Oryzias latipes: one gene and its partners. The protein of the gene in region 2 purifies or fractionates together with the protein of the main gene of each other region. This does not show direct contact. Links are inferred from orthologs where the notes say so. Each region holds a gene or a part of one and is shown on either strand. Other genes may lie near its edges.

The links. Proteins that work in one complex are often made in the same cells at the same time.
Region 1: the proteins of polr2l (region 2) and polr3e purify together in Homo sapiens (affinity purification with mass spectrometry; 4 studies listed by BioGRID and IntAct, with this or other methods). This does not show direct contact. The link is inferred for Oryzias latipes from reciprocal best matches to the Homo sapiens genes POLR2L and POLR3E.
Region 3: the proteins of polr2l (region 2) and polr3c purify together in Homo sapiens (co-immunoprecipitation; 3 studies listed by BioGRID and IntAct, with this or other methods). This does not show direct contact. The link is inferred for Oryzias latipes from reciprocal best matches to the Homo sapiens genes POLR2L and POLR3C.
Region 4: the proteins of polr2l (region 2) and polr3d purify together in Homo sapiens (affinity purification with mass spectrometry; 3 studies listed by BioGRID and IntAct, counting the BioPlex papers as one, with this or other methods). This does not show direct contact. The link is inferred for Oryzias latipes from reciprocal best matches to the Homo sapiens genes POLR2L and POLR3D.

Annotation. Positions count from the first base shown.
Region 1 is NC_019877.2:13,141,830-13,148,320, forward strand, and holds the start of polr3e (DNA-directed RNA polymerase III subunit RPC5), read right to left. Parts: upstream 3,948-6,491; 5' UTR 3,880-3,947; exon of another isoform or gene 3,804-3,879; intron 3,748-3,803; exon of another isoform or gene 3,582-3,747; intron 2,860-3,581; 5' UTR 2,813-2,859; coding exon 2,774-2,812; intron 1,718-2,773; coding exon 1,667-1,717; intron 1,172-1,666; coding exon 1,094-1,171; intron 198-1,093; coding exon 82-197; intron 1-81. UniProt on the Homo sapiens protein: DNA-dependent RNA polymerase catalyzes the transcription of DNA into RNA using the four ribonucleoside triphosphates as substrates.
Region 2 is NC_019861.2:18,859,171-18,864,410, forward strand, and holds polr2l (DNA-directed RNA polymerases I, II, and III subunit RPABC5), read right to left. Parts: upstream 3,310-5,240; 5' UTR 3,178-3,309; intron 2,737-3,177; exon of another isoform or gene 2,719-2,736; 5' UTR 2,710-2,718; coding exon 2,615-2,709; intron 2,334-2,614; coding exon 2,222-2,333; 3' UTR 2,083-2,221; downstream 1-2,082. Other genes in the region: cpsf7 (cleavage and polyadenylation specificity factor subunit 7), read left to right, coding at 429-573, 685-904. UniProt on the Homo sapiens protein: DNA-dependent RNA polymerase catalyzes the transcription of DNA into RNA using the four ribonucleoside triphosphates as substrates.
Region 3 is NC_019874.2:18,839,141-18,845,506, reverse strand, and holds the start of polr3c (DNA-directed RNA polymerase III subunit RPC3), read right to left. Parts: upstream 3,948-6,366; 5' UTR 3,829-3,947; intron 2,952-3,828; coding exon 2,805-2,951; intron 2,478-2,804; coding exon 2,213-2,477; intron 2,057-2,212; coding exon 1,767-2,056; intron 1,663-1,766; coding exon 1,558-1,662; intron 1,126-1,557; coding exon 952-1,125; intron 864-951; coding exon 812-863; intron 712-811; coding exon 651-711; intron 565-650; coding exon 414-564; intron 111-413; coding exon 9-110; intron 1-8. Other genes in the region: E3 ubiquitin-protein ligase RNF115, read left to right, coding at 4,041-4,118. UniProt on the Homo sapiens protein: DNA-dependent RNA polymerase catalyzes the transcription of DNA into RNA using the four ribonucleoside triphosphates as substrates.
Region 4 is NC_019867.2:17,410,450-17,416,813, reverse strand, and holds the start of polr3d (DNA-directed RNA polymerase III subunit RPC4), read left to right. Parts: upstream 1-2,417; 5' UTR 2,418-2,537; intron 2,538-4,464; 5' UTR 4,465-4,496; coding exon 4,497-4,661; intron 4,662-4,854; coding exon 4,855-4,898; intron 4,899-5,005; coding exon 5,006-5,160; intron 5,161-5,269; coding exon 5,270-5,394; intron 5,395-5,483; coding exon 5,484-5,643; intron 5,644-5,789; coding exon 5,790-6,037; intron 6,038-6,114; coding exon 6,115-6,267; intron 6,268-6,364. UniProt on the Homo sapiens protein: DNA-dependent RNA polymerase catalyzes the transcription of DNA into RNA using the four ribonucleoside triphosphates as substrates.

The DNA of each region.
Region 1 (6,491 bases), on a different chromosome or scaffold from region 2:
CTGAAGAGGATTAAAAGGATGAAGAACTCAGACAAGTGTCAAAGCGCTTCAGTGTGGCGATTAAAACCAAAGGAGACATACGCGGAATACGTAGTGGTTTCATCGTAGGTTGTGCCGTCCACATTGAGAGCTATTTGTTCTCCTTTACTGCGACAGTAGTTTGGACTCATGGTGTCCATGGATATGTCCACCTCCACCTGGACAAACATGTGCAGGTCAGCAAACACAGCTTGACATGAACTTCAACTAAAATCCAGCTTTCTTTAAATGTTGACACTCAACACTCAACATTAAACTAACTTGTTAAGTCGTTGTTTATGGACAAAACGACTGGATTCATATTCAAATAAACTGAGACGTAGAAATATGTGAAATTTTACTTAGACGTTGCTTCCAGTCTGCAGCAGTTTAGAGAAAGTCATACATTTAGATTCACTAAAGTTCTTCTGATGACCACAAATGAGTGAAAATGTGAGCATTGAAAGTTTAAAGTATACCTGAAGAAAGTGTTAAAACAAAACTATACGACTATATTCTTGAGATAACGACTTAAGTTGCGAGATAAACACTGCTTTCTTAAGGTAACGAAACAAAATGACAGCTCATTTTCTCGAGCAAACAAGTAATTAAGTCAAAATCTGATGAAAACGGTTTTCTGTTTTCTTGGCATCATAGGATACGTTTAATAGAAACGCTTAACAGTTTGTCACAAATATGAGAAGATCTAGGAAAAAAATAGATTTATCTTTAACCTTTAATGGATTACTTTAGTTGTGATCTAGTTGTCGATCATAAATGAATTTGAAAACAGCCATTTGAGCAGAAAAATTAGTGGTCTCCAATAATAATCTACTTTTTAAAATGCTTTCTTGAGGTATTTCATTTTAAAGTCGTGATGAAGATGTAATTTAATTCTGTTATGTCCTGAAATCCGTTCTTTTTATTCTCGTGATAATGAGTTAGTAAGACTCTACTTCAAGAAATCAAACTGGAAAAAAAATGTATATGAGCAAACATGACAAGAGTGGGACTTCTGTAATGACCAAAACAGCACATGAAGATGAAAAAAAATTGGAGTTTAGAGCTTGTTCACCCTCTGTTGTTTGGGTTTGATCTTAGCCGCCAGATGAGTGACTTTGTCATAGGTCATAATAGCCGGCCGGACAGGATACTGCACAAAAAACGAAAGATTAAACGATGAGTCAACACAACAAGCCAGAGGAGAGCTTTTTTTCAACTATCAAAGTTTAGAAAAAATACTATTTTATTAATCTGTTATTAAAGATAAATAATTAAAAGCTTAAGGAATAAATGACTAAAAAAGGAACATTTTGAAGAACAAATTTTAACAGAAACATTTCATTAAAATCAAGATAATTGAAATGGGTTTGGTGCAAGTTACACATTTTCAACAAAACATCTGAAAGGGCAGAAAAAATGCTTATTCATTATGTTTGTGGCTCTCAAAACAGAAAAAGAATAATAATTTTGAATTCAATTTTTCCTTTTTATGTGTATATTTATGTGACTAACACATTCAACTGACTTCCATTTAACAGTAAAAAAAATAAATAAAAAAATAAAAATAAAAAGCATTGACCATGAGGAAAGTAAAAGGTTTTAAGCAGAATATAAAAACAGGCACAATAATGAAGGAAATGCTTACCTGGAAAAGATAGAGCTTATCTGCGAGGCTTTTGGCGAGGTACACGTCAATCTACAGAAACACACAAATGAAAATCAGACTTTTCCACTCTGCACAAATGACTCTGAGCTTCAAGGTTTTCAACGTAATATTATATGAGTCTTAACTGCATTTCTATTCATGTAGTTATCTAAATAAAATGTCTTAAAACATAATAAATAAGAAAATTGTTAAACTAAACATTATTTGTTTAGCACTTTACATACATAACGTTGCTTCCTAAAGTGCATGAAACATAAGTACACAAAAAGTCAATTAAAAAATAGTTTTTTTGAAAACATATTAATAAACAATACCAAAAAGGTTTTTCTGCCTATGAATACATCTGCCTCTTAAACACAACAACTTCTCTTAAACAATGGCACAAAAGGCTTCCTTGGGCATTTTGTACAAACCACCTGCTAATCTACACACTAAAACTCCCACACCAAGTGTAAACTGAAGGAGACATTTCCAGTTGAAAACCCCAAAGCAGCGGCACTCCTTTTTGTACATATGGCTCAATATGCAATCCTGCAGATCAGGTTATAGGAAAAATGCTGCAAAACTCAGAGGCTCTTCTTTTTTGGGGGGGTTTCCCAAAGAAACTGATGACCCACACTCTGATGAAAATTGTTTTTTTTTTTTATGATGATGGAGGACATGTATGTGAAAATTAACCACTCTAATTAAAATGCGTTTGGAAAAACCAAACCACTTGCCTAATACTGTTAATGTTGTTTAATGTAAATATGTGACCGATTTCAGAGGCTGTCAGTAGTTTCCATTCTCTTTAGAGAAGGTCACAGTGTAAACACAGATGAATTGTTAGACAACAGCATGTTGGATTGTTTTTCAATCGACCGCAGACCACAGAAAAACGTCTTCAAATTAGCTTAAAACAAACACTAATACATGCTAGTTTAATGGGAACTACATTTACCCATAAACATGGTCATTTCCTTATTTTTGAGATCAATAAAGTTTAATTCATTCATTCAAATACATATTTCTCATGGCTCAAAGTTGCTGCATAGCAGTGATCAGAAGAGGATTGAAACTTTATTTAAATTCCAGACGTAAACATACCTCCTCTATAATTGGATCATCTTCATCTCCACTGGCCATATCTATAGGATCAGGGGAGCAGCAGTGATATATCAGAGGACTTCAACCTGGACAAAATAAATGCAAAGCAAGAATCCGTCATTGATTAACACTGCTTTTAATATGCTACAGCAGGTAATCCAAAAGAACAGAAAGGTTTAACAGAAGTCCTAGTAATCCAGATGTACATTATATTTGTAAAAAAAAAAAAAAGTGTTTCATTGGTAGTTAAACGTATAACAAGTTACATTTCTGTATCTATATGCGATCTAAACTAATCTGTGATGATGCAGCATGTCAGATGATGCTTTCACGGACCCATCACGGCGAAACTGATGTAATAGTACGCAACCATCCAAAAAATTGAAGTTTTTCACTTCCCTAAATACAAACGACGTCCAGCATCCTTGTCAATCTGTGATTTATGTTGGTTACACAATTTTCTGCAGGCCCACAGTTCAGAAAAGTCAGATAGTTCTTGCTTCGTTAGCTTCATTAGCCTAGCAAGCATCAGCTCTTTAAATTACTAGCCACAGGCCCCCACAACAGAGACACTCAAAATAACATTTCTTTACAAATACGCGCTTAAGTAGACAGAGACGAACGACACTTTTAACTGTGGAGTTTTCTGAAAATTCCAAAACTGAAGGTAGGCTGTAGCTAAGCTAACCAGAGTAATGTAGCTTAGCGTGCTAACACACACATCAGAGATTTATGATAAACAAGACAAAACATCAGATTTAGCACTTTGGACATGTGGCATCCCCATAGAAACAGCGTGAGGCCTCACCTGCTCACCCCCTGCAGTTTAAATATATAACACGTTCAAGAACAGTCCATGAGTGAACTACTAGACTTGAAGCAAACTACCGGGCTTGAGGTACCATGATGTTGACGCTGTTTCAACAGACACGTGGGGAGTTGGACGTGCTCGTGCAAATAATGCTATTCGGACCAAACTGCGGAACTGAGCACTGTCACGTGTCTTTATAACCTATTTACTTTAACTTACCTTTTATTCACTAATTCGTTCTGCATGTGTTTTCTTTAACTGTTAGATCAAGCGTTGAGGAAAAACAACGACGTACCAAAAAGAATTCTTGGCAGCGGTGGGATTCGAACCCACGCCCCCGAAGAGACTGGAGCCTTAATCCAGCGCCTTAGACCGCTCGGCCACGCTACCGTGATGCATTGCGAAGGAAAATGTGTCATCATAGTCCATAGGCAGCTGAACGCTGCCTATTCATGTTCAATTATAAATGCAACCACAAGGCTGCACGACGCATTACCTGTCCCATGTCCGGCTAAAGGACATGGGACATATATATATACGTGCCGTATATGTATATATGAATTGTGTATCACGAAACAACAAGAACCGAGACATTCGGAAAAGTTTTTTTTTTATTTGGAAATAGGTAAGTACCAATGAAGAGAAACCTTTTATACCTGGGTTACACTAAGACTGGTATAATTTACTTAAAGAATAAAGAATCAATAAATACTTCCTACATTTAACACAATTGAGTGTCAATCAGTTGTGTTAAATTTAAAACAACTCATTGTCACTCAACGTCACCCTAGTGGTATCCAGTCGAGATGCAACAATTCACTTTCTCCACGATTTTGTTCAGTTCAATGGTGAAACACACGGTTCAATTTTAAACAGGGAATTGTGAGATGGTTTGTAAATACAAAGGGTTGTGTCATGAAGGGCACCCAGTAAAACCAAAGTCAATACAGTCGTGCAAACTACAACAATAAATTTTATACTAATCGTGGCAAAGGTGTAACAACAACCACCAATGGTACAGTCATCCACAGGGTGCCAATGGAAATTGGACATGTATGAGAGGTGTGAGGCAGTGGTGAGATGGTCTTCCTTGTTTGTGTGGTGATGAACAGACTGACAGATGAAGTTAGACAGAAATCTCTGTGGACCATGATGTCTGCAAATGACATGCATTGAAAGCAGAAAGGAAGTGGAAGAACAACTAGAGAGGTGGGGGTTTGACGTGGAAAGGAGAGGACTGAAGGTCCGCTGCAGAAGATGGGGAGGATTTCCAGTCTAGAACAACAGATTGGTTGTAGAGGCATATGCAGACAGGTTGTAATGGGTGGAGGAAGGTTTAGGTATGATGTGAGACAAAAGAAAAATGTTAGCAAGAATGAAAGGAAAGGTGTAGAAGATGGTGAGAGAGCAGCCATGTTGTTGGTTTAAAGCAGAGGTCTGCAACCATCAACACTTAAAAAGCCATTTGACCTTTTATGTGTTGGAGTAGTAGGAGCCACAAAGTCTTTAGGAAAATTTGATATTTGCTTTGCATTCATTACTTTGTTATTTTTGTAATAAATATGAATTACCGGTATATTAATTTTTTGACTTGAAAAAGCACAAATACCCCTTGTGCTATCCTATGGGGTCAAGATGACCATTGACGTGTTCTCCCTACCATGACAAAGGTGGATAAAGGTGAAGAGGATTTCATGTAATCCATGGACACCAGTGAAGATCACAAATCATTGAAGAATCTTGTGGGGTCTAGATGACCCAACGCCCAATGTTAAAGTGCCTAGGATTGCACAACGGATTCAAAGAAAAACTTGCGTTTTCTCAAAATGTGAAATTGTTTTTTACTTTTCACAGAAGCTGGCATGTTTTCCTTTTAAAATAAAAGACTTCCTGTGCCAAACCGGATTATCCTGGAGCAGCTAACGGACTCCTATAAAAGGTTTAAACAATTCAAGGCAAAAAGGAAATCTTCTCTTGTTATACCGTAGGTCTATTTTGGTGAGTCGTCATTATTTTTCTTACTTACTCCTGCTGTTAACCTGAACATAAACACAACTCAATTAGTTTATGATTTGATAGAAAGAAAAAGGAAAAAATTATGCAGCCTAAGAAAATATGCGATTTAAGCTCATAAACTGAGAAATCAGAAAAATATCCAACTTTTCAATCAATATATTTTAAATCAGTGCACTCTGGAGGAAGAGTAGAACAATCAAGGCCTCAGGATGTCAGCAGGAATATAAAAACCTTTACATAGTTTATCTTCTATCGTTGCACCTCAGCTATAAATTCATAAACTTAACTAATCTAAATTAAATCAATCAAGCAGATTGAGATGGTTTGTTGAAGATTTTGGAGTCCCAGAAGATGAGCAAAACAGAAGAATTATGGATGTAGTCCATGACTTTTTTTTGTGTGCTTTGGTTTTATTGAGGAAGATGAAAAGGAGAGATTTTATAGAAAATTCAAAAGTGGCTTTGTTTCTCACAGAAACTACAAATAACTCAATTACAAATGAAGGGAATGATCACAAAGGAAGCATGGCTCATATAAACCAATGCAAACTTTATTTTTAAATTCTTGTACATATTTTGCACATACATCTTTCAGACATAAATGCATAAACGTTTATTAAAGAAAGATAAGTAAACAGTCTTCTTTGTTCCATTTTTTTTGTAAATAACCTTTTTTTTTTTACACAACCGTATTCATTTAAATTAACCAAAGACAGGAAATGAGAGAGAAAAGAGGTCAGGATGATTACTTTCACATTTGAAGAGATAAAAAAAAACAAAACAAGAATGATCATCAGCGGCTTAGCACTCACTCACACACCCAAACCGGCAACAGCAAAAATTCTGCCATAAAATTTATATTATCCAAAATCATTCAAGCGTTAAGCTAAAT
Region 2 (5,240 bases):
GCTAGTGGGCTCACAAACTTTATGAGCCCTCTCAGTCTGACTCTTTGGCTCTAATAACCAATCTGCCTCAGCTTTCTGTAGCTGGGTTCTGTTGCTATAGTTTTTACTTTACACATGTTAGGCAGCTGGGTGTCAGTGCGGAGGAGCATCGCACAAAATGAAAGAAGTAATATGAAAGTTTGTTTCTGCAACTTCTCATGCCTTCAAAAGAAGTTGGATCCTCTTAAAAGCTAACACTGCATGCCTCACAGTTCAGTCAAGTTTGGTGAAATTGTTAATATTGTGCTTTTCTGTAACTTAAAAAATTCAAAATAGAAAAAAAAAATCTATCTCTTGACAGGATCTTTAAAGAATTTTGCCCACTTCGAGCTTAATGTTACTTAAAATTAGTTTTCTTCTATGTGTTTTCTGTCCAATTGCTACTCCAGGAGATCTACAAATGGCCATGGAAACACTGTTAACCGCCATTGCAGTTATTAAGCAGTCCAGAGTGTACGGAAATGAACGCTGTGAAGCCCTGGTCACCTCCCTTAAAGACTGTTTGGTCTCCATTCAGGGGGATTATGGCTACAGGTGTGTACATTTCTTCATTTGAATGCTTTTGACTCACTTGAAACTAACCATTTAATAACACATTTGCTGTTTAATGAGTTTTATTCCCATTTCAATGGTTTTTCCCTCTAGAAGAAGTAGTCATTCTAGAGAAAAAGAAAGAGGTCGTGACAGAGAGAGGGAGCGGGATAGAGAACGGGAGCGCGACAGAGAGCGGCACAGAGATCGCGACAGAGATTACTTCCATAGCGGGGAAAGTGCGGGAATGTCCCAGAGACGCAGGGAGCGTTCCTGGAGTGAAGAAAGGGACAAGAGGTGGTCTCGAGAACAGCAAAGGGATCGACACCGCTAACGGGGAACGGTAATAAATACATAAGCCATTACTTTATGAATTTTGCACTTCTTTTTTAAGTTTCACTGGAAAATTCTTAGTTCCACATAACTAGTGATGTAAATAACGCTTTTATGCGTGGCCATTTTTGCTTTAATTTGAATAAAATGAGAAAAGTTGGAATTTTATTAAAATAATTCTAACATTAAATTGTTTTTGTCTTTGAAAAAACTGCTTTATAGCAAACAGCACTTATGGATTTCATTTATCAACAACAGCTTCTCAAAGATGAAAATCAGTTTGAAATCGATTAATATTTATTTAAACCCAGAGTTTTTTTCAATACAGCTATTTCAATTGTGACCAGAAAAATGCAGAGGGGAGATTTCAAGTTATTTTAAGTCACGCTTTTATGAGCGTAATTTATAAAAAAAATCAGGAGGCCAATTCACCAGCCACATTCTTTTTTCTATATAATTTAATCAAAACAAATCCACTGTCTGAATTCTGCTCTTTTTGCTGTTTGAAATGGCTTTATTTATCACAACTGAATCTTAGTTACACATCTCAACAGCAGTTGTGCTGTGTGATTGTTAAAAAAAATCTGTAATTTGCTTTGGACCAATTTAAAACTTGAAAGGGCATTATGAGAGTTTGCTTTTTCCAAATGCTCTATTATAAATAAATTGTTGTAAACATTTTAATTGTTGGTAACAAAGTGGCATTGTAATTTGCTGAAAACCTTCTGCACATTCACTATAACTCTTCAAGAGTTAAAGTTCCAACCGCCATGACGATGTTTTGTTCTTGCTTCCCCAGATTGGAGGCAGAGGAGCATTGTTGCGTCGAGTTGTATATAAAAGAATCAAGGATTGTTTGTTCAATCTGAGAACACGGTTTTGTTCTTCCTTTATATAATAGGACTTGTTTTAACAAAAATTGGCTGTAGATTTTTTCTTGTAAAATAAGACTTTGTTTGCATGCACCATAACAATTCTTTCTGTAATCATTGTAATTTCACATTTCTTTTGGTAGAAAATCTACAATTAAAAAAAATCCCAAAGTATTCTCGTCTTATGTGCTCTGCTGTTGAATAGTATAACATTATTTGTTTGCATGTTTTCATAAGTACATAAAGTGAAAGGTTGAGCGATTTAACTCAACGCCTCAAAAATTAGATGGCATCTCAACTCAGTGAATCGAATACTTTAAAGAAAAAACTTTATTTAAATAAAATTTTCATTGCCACATATGTGCACAATACACCAAGTCATTATTGTTGACATTTCTTAAACACTGAATATATGCACAGGCCATGTTCAAAGCATGTTCTTCCAGCTAAAATTTTTCCAGCGGTGCATAATTTAACAATTTCTCAATAAGATCCACATGGGAAAGCAGCATCCTCCGACAGCAGTACCTCTTCAGGCCCAGGGCATCAAGAGCATCACTAGAAAAGGGAAGATGGAAAAGTAATTTTAGTGCCAGATATTGCTTGCATAATTACAGAAAAAAAAAAAAAAAACATTTCTATAGTTAGTTTTAAATGTTGTATCCTCAAATGGTCTGAATTCAAACTAACATCTTGACTGACAGTGAAACAGGAGGAGTAGAGGTTGAATGAAGGCCTTTATTTAGTTTCAGAAAACTTGACCATATAGCATTACGGTGACACATTGTTGAACGAACGAAACATGAAGGTAAAATGAAAATGAAGCGCATCTGTCTCACCCTTCAGTGTATTCGGCCTGAAGAAGACCAAGGTAGGCTTCCCATTTGTTCCCCACGATCTTCCCACAAGTGAAACACCTCACCGGGATAATCATTTCTGGATGCTTGAAGAAGGAGCCAAACTAAGATATTCAATCCACAATAAATAATATAATCAACAATCAAATCAATAATAAAAAAAAATTAAATAAACAAAAACATGCCAATATGAATATGGTCATATCTGAGAAAGGGTAATTATGTTACACATGTTCCTACAACATAATTCCGCTTATGATGCTAGCAAATACTTCTAAAGGAAGGTACCAACACGTTGTTTAGGAACGTCGTAACTAAAATGAACGCAAATATCTTGCGCTACAATTTCTGTAAACGATATAATATAATTAAGTAACTTGTGTTTAAATTACTGAGATTTAAAAAACAAAAAGAAAGGCCAACGCTAGCCGCGTACATGCAGCTAGCCTAGCAGCACGCCGTCGTTCACATGCTTCCCAAACTCGGGTACAAATGAAATAAAAATATTAGTAACATTACGTTAAAAAAGGAAGTTGTTAACTCACCTTTATTGGTCAAGTTTGTCCAACACTTAAACAGCGTTATTTGTAATAATAGTAGAGACAAAGTTTAACCGTTGACGATATAAACATCACAGCTCAAATAACCATTTCCGGTGTAATACAGAGCTTCCGGATGTGATCCTACAAAATAAAACTAATTTAAATAAACCACTAAATTTAGGTAAACAATGCTGTTGAGTTTAACTGCTGTGTGTTCATTTTCTGTATGTAAAACACAACTTTAGGATTTAACAAAAAAATTATTTTATCGCGTAAAAGTATTTGTTACAAAAACTGACGCGTACGATTTGCATTTTTACTATATATATATATATATATATATATATATATATATATATATATATATATATATATATATATATATATATATATTTTTTTTTTTTTAAAGAAGGTAGCACATTGTCTAAATACAACCTGCATCGGCCCTCAAATATTGAGAAATCTGTTCCTCAAACCAAAATAAAATCACATCTCTCTGGGTGGGTCTGTAATAATACCAGTTAATCCCAGACGACATATGTGTCCAATGATTAAATGCTTTAATTTAAATCACCTACACATTCATGTTCTATGATAAGGAAACAACTACATTTATATGGTATATGTATTCACCAACATTTGTCTATATGCAAATATTACTTTTTGTTATTTGAGGATTTCTCTGCAATAATTTAGAAAACATTCTAATGTTGCCACAGTCATGTGAGTAAAATAAAATAAAAAATCCTTATTTGGGAATTGGCATAAAATGCAAATCCCAAAAAAATCCTCTTTTTCTAATCTTGACTGTAGATCTACAGCTTTCATTTTCAAGTTTAAATATTTTCATTTGGATAGCTTATTAGCCAATACTTTCTGTGAAACTGTTGCTGTTTATTAACTAATCTTTAACTGTCTTTCCTTATTTTCATTTGCAGAAAAAAAAAGTTGTGAACATAAATCAAATGTAAATCTGATCTAAGCCTTAGTCTCATCTAGATTTCTCAACATACCAGTATTCAAAAGTACCGGTACCCAATTCCTTTTTTATATTTGTTGGCAGTCCATGTTAAAACTCTCTTGAACTTACAAGATTCATTCATTCATTCATTTTCTTAACCGTTTTTCCCTTTCGGGGTCACGGGGCTGCCGGAGCCTATCTCGACCACTTGTGGACAGGTCGCCAGTCTGTCACAGGGTAGAACTTACAAGATCATAAATTTAACTGAAACTCACATTTCTACTAATATAATTGCTTTGATAATTCTTGTGCATTTAAAAAAATAATTCAGACTGGTTCACTTCTTTTATTGAGGCTGAAGTTTAAACTCTTCCTTTTTTACATTTAGACATTTGGGGACAAAAGCCGGGCTGCATTATGAAAATCAGTTAAAATATAGAATAATAAAATATCCTTCGTATCATTCTAACAGACACAATGATAACTATCATCATCATTGGCATCATGTATTGTCACCAACATCGCCATCGTCAACACCAAACATTATTACATCATCTATGCAATTTAACTTGCTACAGCACATGTGCTAAATGAATAGTCCTACCTGAATTATTGCATTTATACGCTGTTAAAATTATGAAAATAAGAATTTTTCCTTTTCTTTTTTTGGTACACTATATTGTACAATGTAAGGTGAAATTTACTTTGGTGCTACTATCTTCTTGGACATGGTAGGGGTTGGAAGGGGTGGCTGTGGTGAGTGTTTTATGATAATTTTCTGTCAGAACTGAGCGCAATATCGAAGTTCCTCTACAACTTAAATTATGTGTGTGTTTGTTACCACTGCCTTCCTTCTTCCTGTTTTCATGAAAGCAGAAACTCAAATTTTATAATTCAAGCTAAACAGACATGCTTGTGGAGCTGTACAGGTGATATTTCGGGCAATAAGACTGCATGGGATAGACAACCAGTAGACATGTTTTGGCAACTTGATACTGCAACACTAATGGCTCTTAAGCAACAATGTAAACAGACAGATCTGAGATGGCTGATTGTATTTTGCATGGCATGAAATGTTAATGATTCCTCTTAGCATTTTACAGTA
Region 3 (6,366 bases), on a different chromosome or scaffold from region 2:
AGACTCACCTTGTAACAGTTCTGTAGCAGCAATCTCGCAGTAGGCAGCTGGTTGACGGTATAAAGATAGAAGGTCCGAGAGGGAGCAAAGTCTGGTGTTTTGGGGATTTCCTGGAGGATACATTTAAAAAAGAGATAATTACAGATAATAAAAATTGTACTAAAAAAAGAAAAAACTAGAACTATGGCTGCTTGGTTCAAACTTTGAGAACTCAACACATGTATTTTTAAATAAATCTATATACATTGGTAAACAGAACAATGCTGTTTTGGATTAAATAACTTCAGCTCAGATGTTTAAAATTCACCACCAGGTTAAAAAATTAGTCTTAGGATAGATCCAGGTGTATGATTAAAACAAATCGTAAACTTTTCATCCAGTTCCTTCTTTAAACCCATTTTACATCCACGTACCTGAAGCTGGACCAGGTTCTGTGAGAGCAGAGTGTACAACATGTCTTTAGCCTCTTTTGCTGGAATCATGGCGAAATCCTCCACTTGCTTCTGCTCCAGATGACGTTTCCGTAGCAACAGGCGGAAGATGCGCGCTGATCTGGAGCCAAATCTGAGGATGAATAAAAGGTATCTTATTAACAATGGGAGCCCAATAGCAACCGTATGTGTGGAGAGCAAACACACACACTGGTGTACCTCTCTTGTACGATGGACTCCAGGGTGGCCCGTGCCAGGTTAGCCAATGCTTGGTTCAGATCTGACAGAAAAGTTAGGGAAAGCTTTTGTTTTGGGTTTAGTAGCGAATGACACGCACACCTGTGGGATGGTTTGAACCTTCAAGTGAGCAGAAAGGATACTGACAATATACATTCCTCCTCCACTTTCCCCAGCCTTCCCCACAAACTCCATCTTAGGAAGGAAAAGTGGGAAACTTTTTGAGCATTTTGTGGGGAGCCAAGCAAAAATCAGAGAGATATTTGAGATGAGGAGGACCTACAGGGTCATCCACCAGCAGAGTGAGGTACTGGTCCAATATATGGCGGGGGATGTTGTAAGTAGCTGGGAGGGACCTGAAGATCTCATTGGCTGAAAGGGGTTTTGTGCACGGGGCAGTGGAAGAGGTTGTCACCTCACTCATCCTCAGCATGGTTCTCACTATTTCACTGCTGGTCTGGGTAGGAAAGATGTGAGAAGACAGCTAGTTAATAATAAATAATAATAATAAATAATTAATAATGAAATAAATGTAAAAAGCTGTAGTATTTAAAGCACAGAGAACAATCCAAGAAAAAAGAGGAATTATTAGGAGTACTTCCAAAAACTATCACTTTATTTCATTTAAAATTTGAATTTTCTTTGATTTTAAGGTCAATACTTCAAAGTCAGATAGTCTTATCAAACAACCAAATGCTTATGCTAAATTCCTTCAGCCATACAAAGAGGGTTTTCAAATACTATTCATTTTTACTTTTAACCATCAAATAATTATACACTGAGGAAATGTATTTGGGTTTTTTTTTCTAGGCAATTATTTTTCAAAACCTGTTTTTCTTTTAATGAATAAAAAAAATGGTTAGTTTGAAATGTTTTGTGGAATTCCCACCTGATCTAGTTTGTTGGCGACAGCACTGATGATAGTCTGATCCCGGAAATGCTGGTGGAACCGTTCAAAGTTCACCTGCCAGTAAATCCCCTCATCCCCATGAGTCTGAGCACCAAAGATCCAAGTTATGAGAAGACAAACAGAAGTCACAACCATAGAAGTCTTAGCATATGCAGTGAACATCTTGCTTTAACAAACGTCTCTCTGACCTCTGGGTCCATTTTCGCTTTTTTCGCATTTCTTTGGTCCTCTCCTTCCTCGCTGGCGAGCGAGCGTTTGCTCCGGCCTATGAGTGTCACTTGAGGAACCCTGTAGCAGTCGGGGAAGCTTTCCGGTGTGGGTGCAGTGCTGCTGGCAGGAGCTGCAGAAGTCGAATTGGCAGTCTGACTGCTCCCTGTCGTTCCTGCTCCTGCTGCTGGGGGACAGCGCTGGAGAAAATGAGTCTCTACCAGTTTGGAAAAGGTGGCGGACACTTCACCATAATCCATGCTCGACCCCTCTGTATCAACAAAACATCAAAGGAAGTATTCATTAGAAAATGAATCTACTGATCGCGATATTTTAGGCCTCAATCCAAAGCTTAACTGAAAAAAAAACCTTCAGAAAACAGATCATCTCTTTTATGGACAGTCTTTTGTTTGATTCTGATGCTCACCGTCCATACTCTGAGTTAGACGGTCTGCGACTGTCTTAACTGTGTTGCTCATCGTCATGTGGCCCCTCTGCAGCAGCTCCTCTATGATAAGCTCACCGGTGTCGCCGTACAGCGTTTTGGCTGTGTATATGTAACGTGGGTAGCGCAGAATTCTCAGTACCCGATCGCAGTGGGCTTTGTATTCCGTCGGGCTCCCCGGTCCTTTTCGACCTTGAATAAACGAACAGGCTCCATGTTGCACAAGAACGCACAGAGACTTCTTTACCTTGATGAAAGAAGAAGAAGTCCTGTTAAAGTACATGAACATTACCAGACATCACTGTATTGTATTGACAAAAAACTGATAAGCAATCAGTTTCAGGTAAAACTGTTTTCAAATATGAATATATATTACCTGAATAATTACATTATAATTTTGTTTCTCTTATTGTTCAAATATCTTTAAAGAACTAACTTTTGCCATATTGCAAGGGACATAGTAATATATGTGACCGTTTGCTTTGAATAATAATTCAAATAATGAATAATTTTGATTATTTTTCAAAGAACATCTGACTACAGCGAATGCAATCTCAGTCTTGCGTTGACCTACCAGATCCACTGACAAGCCAGTTTCATGAACAATGGCTCTTAAATTTTGCGTTCCACTTTTGAGCAGATTTCTTCCCACTTTCTCCACCACTTCTCCAAAGTGCTCCTGCAGCAGAAGACCACACAGACGGACCTCCTGGGCTGTCATCTGCACAAACACACCAACAGTTCAATGAAAACCACTAAGTTAATAATAAGAACTAATGCATGTGCTTTTAGTAGGCTGTAAAGATGAATCGATTCATCCATCTGAGGCAAGATGTTAATCGAATCAAACTATACCAATATGAATTAATTTTAAAAGGAAATAAATCAATTATTATCAATATTGGAAAATACCATTTGGATTAAGGCACAGTAGGCTTTTTTTCTAACTATAACGTTAAAACAGACAACACATCGAATGGCAGCAAAATGTAGGTAAAACTGTCCATTCATTCTTTTTTACTTGTTTGTTTGTAAACATGTTTAATTTACACTTAATTATGTTGCAAAAAAATACAGGGAATGTGGAAAACTTCCCCTGCACTGTTCAGAATCCAGGTATTTATTTTCTGAGTCCCACTGGTTGAATTCTTGGCTAAAGATGTTCTGGATCGATTTTAGATCAGTGAATCGGATCGGATTTGATCGTTCAACATGAACCAATATAAACAATAAATCAATTTTATTTTAGTTCAGTTTAGTTTTTCAATAAACAGCACTTTTTTTAGTTATGTTATCTCTATACATCTAGTTTACGAACTACAAACAACAATAATAGTATTTTACTTTGTTAAAACAGGCACCACTTATTCCAACAGGTAAAATCTAAAAATAAAAAGTTAGATCGGTCATTAAGTAGTTTCCCTTATAGCATACAGTGCATGTAAACTATCTCTTCTAATTTGAAAAGTCAACAGTTGTTCAAGTTCTTTCCCCCTTGGGCTTTTGGATAGTAAAATTACAATTGCATGCTGGGAATTTACTAAATTATCTCTGAATATTTGATGGTATAAGCCTGGCATTTTTTTTTTTTCACAAACCTTTTTCGATTTCAGATCTCGCAATGAAAGCAGACTCCGTGCAGATAGTTTAGCGCATGAGGCTAGTCGATGACAACAAACAGACACTTCCGCTCCCGGTTTTTTGCTTGCTGTGATTCGACAACAGTGCCGCAGTGCATGCCGGGCTGGGGGCGGACAGCTCCCTTCAGCTAGTGGAGGACCGACGTCAGTGTTTGTGCTGCTCCGGGAAGATGGCGGAGGCTGCGGCTGTTCCCTCGCATCGGTTTTTCTGTCACTGTTGTAAGGGAGAAGTAAATCCCAAACTCCCGGTAAGTCGCGTTATTTTTGGTTATTCGCTCATTTTATGTTGAGTGTTATGCGCGGCTGACAAGTCTGCCTTCCGGCAGGTAGCTGTTTGTTTCGGCTACTTCTTGCTACAGCTAAGCCCATAGGCTATTAGCATATAGCAGTGTTTGTTGTTGTTAAGTCAGTAAAGAAACTCCGGTTAGTCGTTTTAGGGGAAACTAAGCTACTCTTAAAACTAACGATAGTAGGTCTTGTTATTCGTGCCTGTTTTAAAATACTTACGCTAATCTCTGTGCTTCAAGGTAGAAGTTGTGTGCTTGGTGGTAAATGATAGATGCATGTTTTTGAACAAAACAGCCCGAATTAATCTGAGAGTTTATTTATTCATAAACTGTCACTCAGATTTTCCTTTTCAGTATATATACACATTTAGTTTTTGTTTCTGTTAACAGCAGTGGCAGTATAAGCAGGGGAAGTTTTCTGTAGATGTCATACGTTGTGGTTTACTTTCAGTTTTAGTGTTAAAGTCAAACGTAACAATGTCGGCAGAAGAGGCGTTTAAATGGCCTACTATTACTATTTTACAAATATTCTTTAAAAGGCCATTTATTTAAAAGGACATTCCTACGTTTTTACAAAAACATTTAACTAACTGTAAGTGTTTGTTTTTTTATTTGTAGTTTTTTTTCTCTTGTTGACTCCGTTTTGTGTTTTTGAAACAAATGTTCCTTGGTAAATAAATAAAAATTGACACACATTTTTCAATCATTGAAATATAAGTTATTTTGTTGATGATAATGATTATAGTATTTCATTTTGGACAAGAAAAAATTTGGACAGGTTAAAATAAATACCAGAAATATCTGAATTTCTAACATGAATGTGTTCTCTTACATGTTTTATAAATTTAGCTTATAACTGGCTGATGTATTGAGTAAATGAATTTTGTTATATAACCCGAATTTTAGGAAACACTGCTTTATGTTGTGTCTAGATTTTGACTGAAAGTTTAAATTAAAAAGTGCAACCTGTTAGCTTCTTAGAAGCAATCTGTTAGACTGATACAGAGATGGAGGGTTCTGTGATTTACTGTGCCATAAAGTAAAAATAAACATCCAAACGTCTATTTGTTTAATCGACCAGTAAACTGGAAACAGAGCTGTGACTATTGCCTCCCCATTATTTTTAAATTTCAGATAATTGGTCACTAATTCTGGATTTACTCACTTGTCTCTTTGTGATTTTCTTTTTCTGTGTTGGATCAAGCAACTGCAAAGATAATATCAAACATTTTTTAAACCTGAAATATAAAGTAAATTATAAAAATCAACAAAACAATACATAACATTTATTTATTACAAGTAATTGTGTGAGTTTTGTGAGTAAATCTGAATTCAAAGGCTTTGACCAAAATAATTTCTGTAATTCATAGTCACTTTTTTTTTCAATTCAACCTTAAGAACATTTGTGAATTTCATTTGTATATTTAGCACTCCAAATCGAGTGAACTACAATCTAAAAAGACATTATTGTTGTGACCCACTTTTTAATGCTACAAGTATTGTACTTCAGGTGTTGCCGTAATGGCTTACAACTTTGTTTTTATGCTAAGTGACCTCAATCCTGTTCCCCTGAGTGAAAAGCTCTATCTTTAAATGAGAGGACAACATATGATCCATCCTGCTGCAAAGGCTGCTTGCTGGTTGTGTTTGCTCCAAGCTGTCATGCTGGTTTTGAACGCCCTCCCCCTAAGGTGTGGTTGGCAGACCAGCCGTACCTCTTTGGTTGCATTCATATGTTGAAACACTAAATGAAAGTCATTATTTATGCTTTTAATCAGCCAATCAAAAAAAAAAAAACATCATACATTTTTCTTAACAATTATCCTTTGAAGTATCACGATATGTGTTGTATTTTACATTAATAAAACACAAGCCCAAAAATGGTTTGGCTCATGAAAACAGTTGCACAGGCTTTTAAAATGTCTGTTTTTCAACATATTAAGATGTAAACAATTAAAAGTACATTTAACTGGAAAGTCTTAATGATGGACATGTTTGCTTATAGTATTTCTAATGTACTTTCAACAGCCCTTAAACCAGGATGTTAACATCGTACACATTGGTGTGTTGAAATATCTACTGTCATTTGAATCTTTTTTACTTGTATTGTGTTTGGCATCTTCAATAGGATGTATACTAAATGTAAAACCAAGTTTTTACATCTAAATGTTACTTTTTTTTCTTTCTGATGTGCTGAAACCCAATTGAA
Region 4 (6,364 bases), on a different chromosome or scaffold from region 2:
TCACACAAACAGTCTAACCCCACCTCCCCTTTTCCACCCTCCCTCCCCCTCCTCCCAATCTCATTTTTTGCTCCAAGCATTGCATGATGTTTACTTCACTTCTGTGCACCCACAATGGATAAATAAATACCCAGATAAAAAAAAATAAAAACTCCAACCGCCGTGTGACCTTAGTCGGATTTGCACTCAACCTCATCAGCATCACCATTTCGCCAGCCAACCATACACTACCCATCACTTGGCAGTAAATCTGCCCCGAAGTGCAGAATCACTTAGCTGCTTTCATAAATGTCAGCTCTCAAACATGGAGATGCAGTGAGTGCTGGAAGGGAAACACATAGCATAACCATCATGACATACTATGCTGGCTTTTCCAAAAAGATTAATCTCTCAGTATTTTCCTGAGGATTACATGGAACACCATCAAGACCTCAAAAAATATACATGGGCCAACTGTTATGCCATATGGCCTTACTCGACAGGGCTTCCTCCCCCAGCCTATCCCAGAGCGAGCGATACGACACTGTAAGTCCCAAGTAAGCAGATTTTTACCAGCACTCATTGTCAAAACGATGTTGTTGTTGTTGATTTTTTTTTCTCTTGTTGTTCCAGCCTCAAAGGACAACTCAGTGTAGGATTATTTTAAAGATTAAATAAAAGCTCTTTCAGATTTATGGACTAATCGGCTACTGAAAGAATTGATATAAACATGGGAAAGGGTCCAAAGTGAGAGTGTATTCTTTTCAACGACCTATATTACTTGTATTTCAGAAATGGCCATGGTGTGTTGCCATAATTCCACAGACAGTGTGCGGTACTGAAGAGTCTAATTTACTTTCAGTCAGCAGCAGAGAACTGATGCCCTCAGAATGTAATTAAACTGCAATCATCCATCATCAGTCATGGCAATTCCGACTGTTCATGAAATCCTTTCTGCTCTGGAGATGAGTACACACTTTTGTCTTTGAAGAGACCCATTGAAAAGGATACATTGACTCCTTCTGCTTGGCAAATTTTTCATTTTGTGTATATAGAACATAAAAAAACATACATTTTTCTTGCCAAGTTATTCTTAAAAGAAAAAAAATCGTCATTAAACTTGGAGTTTCAAACATCATCTAAACTCTATATCTTGAATTCCCCTTTAATATTTTCTCACACTAAACCATACTCTAATGACATGCAGCTCATAAAAAGGTAACCTAAACTTTCCCTGTTTGATCAAATTGATTTATTTAACTGCATCTATTTATATTTTTCACATATTAAAAACAAATATTTTCTTTGCACTCTGAAGGCCTATTGGATGTTTCCTTTAACAGATTATTTGTATTATTACTATATCACACAGTAGGAACATTCATTACTTATATCACAAACTCTATTTTAATTCCTTAAAAATGTAAAGATGTGAGTTTCCATTTAGAGTTTATATTAGATTTAATCTGTTTAACTGCATGGAAATATTTAATCTTACTGTTTTATTTAACTGCATGCAGTTGTTTGCATAAGGTAGCAAATGGATAGTTCAGTTGGCTCTGTGTAGGACTGGATCATGGGAAACCAGGATCCGCTTCCCAGGGGCCACAATGAACTTGATGCAGTGTGGGCCCTTAGGCAAGACCCTTTGTTGTACTGCGTAACTATGCAGCCACAAGGGGGCCCAAGTCTAGGTTCCCCTGTGCCGGTCCCCAGCTAGGATAAAATACAGGGTTGTGTCAGGAAGATCATCTGGCGCAAAAATCTCTGCAAAGCTACCTGTGAGAATCAGGGAAAGCTGATTCGCTGTCGAGACCCCAGAAGGAATATGCTGAAAGGCGAGAAATATAAAAGCGTGAATGTTGCATAAGACTATTTTGCTGTAAGACAGAAAATAACCAAGGAAACAAGTGCCCAAACAAATGAAATATTTATTATTATTATTATTATTATTATTATTATTATTATTATTATTATTATTATTATTATTATTATTATTATTATTATTATTATTGTTAGTAGTAGTAGTAATATAATCAGTTCCCTTAGCATGTCAGAGGAAAATAACATCTTTAGAAAAAAAAAATTTCCAATCTCGAAATATGCCATATCTTTTGGTTCTTCACATCTGAGACATTTATTTCAAAACATTCAATAACATTAATCCATGCAAAAGATTTTTATGAATCTGACAAAACTTGCAGGAAAACTAATGCACGATATGTCAGAACTCAAAATATAATTTTCATTTAGCTGTTTTAGGAAACATTTGGAAAGACTAGTATAATCGTTTATCTAATCTTATCTTTTTTATGACAGTGAATTTTTTTGGACTGTGGATTCTGAAATAAAACATAAAAATAAAACAAAATAATGTTTCTAAGCATGCGCGTTTTTCTGCGCATGTTTGATCCTCGAGAGCAAGTTGAAGCCAAAGCGGAAGTGTCATGGCGCCGCTAGTGAATGCAGCGGTGGACGAGGCAACAGGATTTTGTTTCTGATATCTGGCAGGTTTTAGGGGGGAAAACTCCGAATAAGGACCACCGAGGACGTGTCGTGTAAGTTTTTGGAGAACTGCAATATGTTAAGACTTCCTCTGGACAGCTTTCGCGTTGTTTGTGATCTATCTTACTAGCCACGTGTTTCTGTAACATTTTTCTTCATTCATCGTATGTAAATACTGGTTGTGTATTTAAATCACTGACAAATATCATTGTAAACACAATTTATTCTCAATGCTTAGACTCGAAAGTTTAAGAAATCATTCCTAATTAATGTCTTGAATTGCTTACGTTCAGAACCACAACAGAGTAAAAAAGATAAAAAGAAAAAGGTTACAGAACGGACTGAAAGTATATTTTTGTTTATCCCGGTATTATTACAAATTACATTAATGTAAACCTCAATAACATTAATTTTAGGTATGGGGTCTAATGATTAATTAATAAAGTGACACATCAAAACAGATTTTGTGGCTGAAACAAGTTGATAATGGATTCAAATCGAACTGTACCATTATAAAATCCTTTCAAAATTATATTAAATTGATAATCGATCTTGGAAAGTACCATTCAGATACATGCTTGGTTTTTTAACTATAGCGTAAAAACGACGTGATGGTGATGTTAGCAAAGAAATGTCAAAGCATCATTCCATTGCAATGTGTGGAAAAACAATTAATTTAGAAAAGACATGTGACCATAATCACAATAGTGTTCAGAAAAACAGCAGAAATCATTGATCGATTTTCTGGTCTTGTTACAAACTAACCAACCTCCAGCTGGCACAGAAACATGCCCTCTTGACTGTGAAGGAATTGAGCGTCCCCGCACAACAAATCAAACATACCCTGTAAGACGCGCATGCTCAATGTGTTTGTTTAGGGAAATAACAGAATTCTTTTTTTTAATTGGACAATTGCAACATACAGAACAAGAGAATGCAACAATTATGCACATATAATGTACAGTAGAATAAACGTGTTACAACATTAAGAAAATTTTAATTATTAGAAGCAATCACAAAAGGCAATAACAAATAAAAATAAATAAATAAAATAAAACTAAACAAAGAAAAAAATAAAATAAAGTTAAAAAAAAATAATAATAAAAAGAGAAAATACGAGAGTAAACTTATATCAGTAGTCCAAAAAATTTACAAATTTCAATTGTTTTTTGAGCTTTTGTATTTTTTGAAGATGAAATTAAGTTTAAATATTGCTGCAGTTCAAGTGACAGAATTTGTGGACATGAAGGGAGGGACACGCAAATCCCCTTTTGTAGCGATGATAAGACACTAAAAATCTTTTCTTTATCTTTTTGCTAATTTTAGTGTCACGTGCTGTTGAGCATTGCTAATTTTCTTGCAAAGATGTATTACAAAAACAAGTGCGTTGATCTTATTTTGCGAGATAACAGCTGGTTCTTTTAAATTTTGGCATAGGGGCCAAAAAAACAAAACAAAAGAACTTCTAGCCTGTAGCTTTACTTTGAAATCCAATGATTGGCGACACACGAGGATGAGGGGCCATAAATAAACGTCACAGCTGAGATCACCTGGTCAGAACACAGTACTTTCTCAGGAAGTTGAGGCAGGCCCTCTTCTTTCAGGAACTGCTGGTCAGGTTTTATAAGGCCAACAATGAGGGTTCAGTTCTAGTGCCGCGCTGTCTGAAGGCACAACAGAGGACAGGAAGACCGTGCAGGAAGTAGTAAGAACAGAGGGGAGGGGGATAGGAAGTGCACTACCAGACTGATTGGGAAAGAGTTGTATTTGGAAAGATGCCACACACCCTGGACATTACGTAACTGTTTTAAAGGCACACGCCAACAGAATCCAGAGTAGTGTTTCACCTGGCAGTAAAATGTGTGCAACCTCCTCATAAAGACATTTGAAAACAATTTTTATGTAATATTTGTGTATTTTCCTTTTAAACATCACCATTGTCTGAGAGAGATGATGATGAGTATTATTGTTGGCCACCAGGTTGGGAGTTTGACATCCCTTTAAAGTTCAGGATGGCGGACTCCGGGGAGTCCAGCAGTCAACGCGTTCCCACTCCTGCAGGCGCCAGCAGCAGCAATGTAGGACTCCAGATGGGGCGTCGACCACCAGCTGGACTCTCTCCTGGACGCCTCCCTTCCATGCGGTCAAGGGACCTCACCCTGGGAGGAGTGAAGAAGGTTAGCATCATACCTCACTCGCCATTTAATCTTTGGGTTAGGAATTGTGTTAGATGAGTTAATCACACCAGATATATTAAGAAACCCTTCTGTAGCTTCTTTTGCCCTACTTGCAATCATGATTTTTTTTTTCTAGATTTCAAAAATAAACAGCTTTTCTTATTACTCATTTATCTTTTTTTTAATTTTATAGAAAACCTTCACACCCAACATCATTGGCCGAAAGGTTAAAGAGGAGTAAGTTGATTTTATTTCTAGGATTGAAAAATGCAGTGAAGAACAAATAAAATTCGTGTAAACTGAAGCTTTAACTGTTTTAAAAAAAAAATTTTTGGTTGCAACAGAGCCAAAGTTGAGACTGATCAAAGGAGAGATCGGAGAGGTGGAGAACGTGGTCGAGGGCCGAGAGACAGAGGCAGGGGCCGAGGTCGCCAAGAGATCATCCAGTCCCATTCTATCTTTGAGCAGGGGCCGGCCGAGATGATGATGAAAAGGAGAGGTGGGGGGCCAGCAGGACTAGCATATGCAGTTTGCTGCTGCAGCTGAACTGCCATTTTTAAAGTTTCAAATGATTTATCCCCCCCCCCCCCCCCCCCCCCCCCTCATAGGTGGATATGAAAGCGAAAGAGATGCTCCAAGCATGGGGCCTTCACCCATCATTAACATTAAAAAGGAGAAGAGGGAGACTGAAGAGGAGACGAAGGAAATTCTGCGCAAGCTGGAGCGGGACAATGTACGTCCATCCTTCTCTTAGTTACAACCATCACAGACTTTCACCAAAAGGCATTTCTCTCTTTTTTTTTCTCGTTCCCCTTCTTGCAGTTTATTGATGACCCCTTCCTAAAGAGTGAGCAGAGGAGTTGCCCTGTCCAGCTCCCCCTTTCTGTGTCAGGATGGGGATTTAGGGAGGAGTTTAGTAAATCTACTGTCAAACTTGAGAAGTCAGAAGAGGGGGATGATCCCATGGAGTCTGGAGTCGTTGGTAACTACAGAAACTTTTATCTGTACAGCTCATTTCTGGCAGTTTTTATAGTTACCCAAAACAGGAAATTGTGTGCATTCATAATATCTGTATTTGAAGTGGCCTTTTTTTTTTGTTATTAAAACGCCACATTATCCTGTCTGCAGTGAAACAAGAGCCAGAGGAAGTGGAGATACAGAAGAGTGAGGCAACATTTAGACCTCCTCCCCTTCCTGAGCCTGAAGTTCTTCCTGATCTGCTTCATAAGTGGAGTCTAAACAAAGGAGAGGAGCTGTTTTTCATTCAGCTGCCTGACTCTCTTCCTGGTCAGCCTCCCACCAAGGAGCACAGACCTGTGAGGACAGAGGTGCAGTCCGAGGATGGACAGTCCGTGCTTCTGAAAACAGAGTCCCAGGTAGGTTTCAGGTGTTCACCTTTCAACTCATGCGATCACATGTGGAAATAGTAATTTAACTGTTTTTCCAACAACAGGAAGAGGAAGCTGAGGACAACAGTTGTAATTTGAAGGATCTGCGAGAGGGTTTGGTGGGAAAGATGCTGGTGCGGAAGTCTGGACGAGTGCAGCTGATACTAGGACAGGTGACACTTGATGTGTCATTAGGAGCGTCGTGCTCTTTCTTACAGGTACTATTGGACTGTACACCTACGAATTCAAGTGCGCACCAAAACAAAACAGCTTTTAGGCATGAAAAATATGCATGCTAATCTATTTCAGAGAATG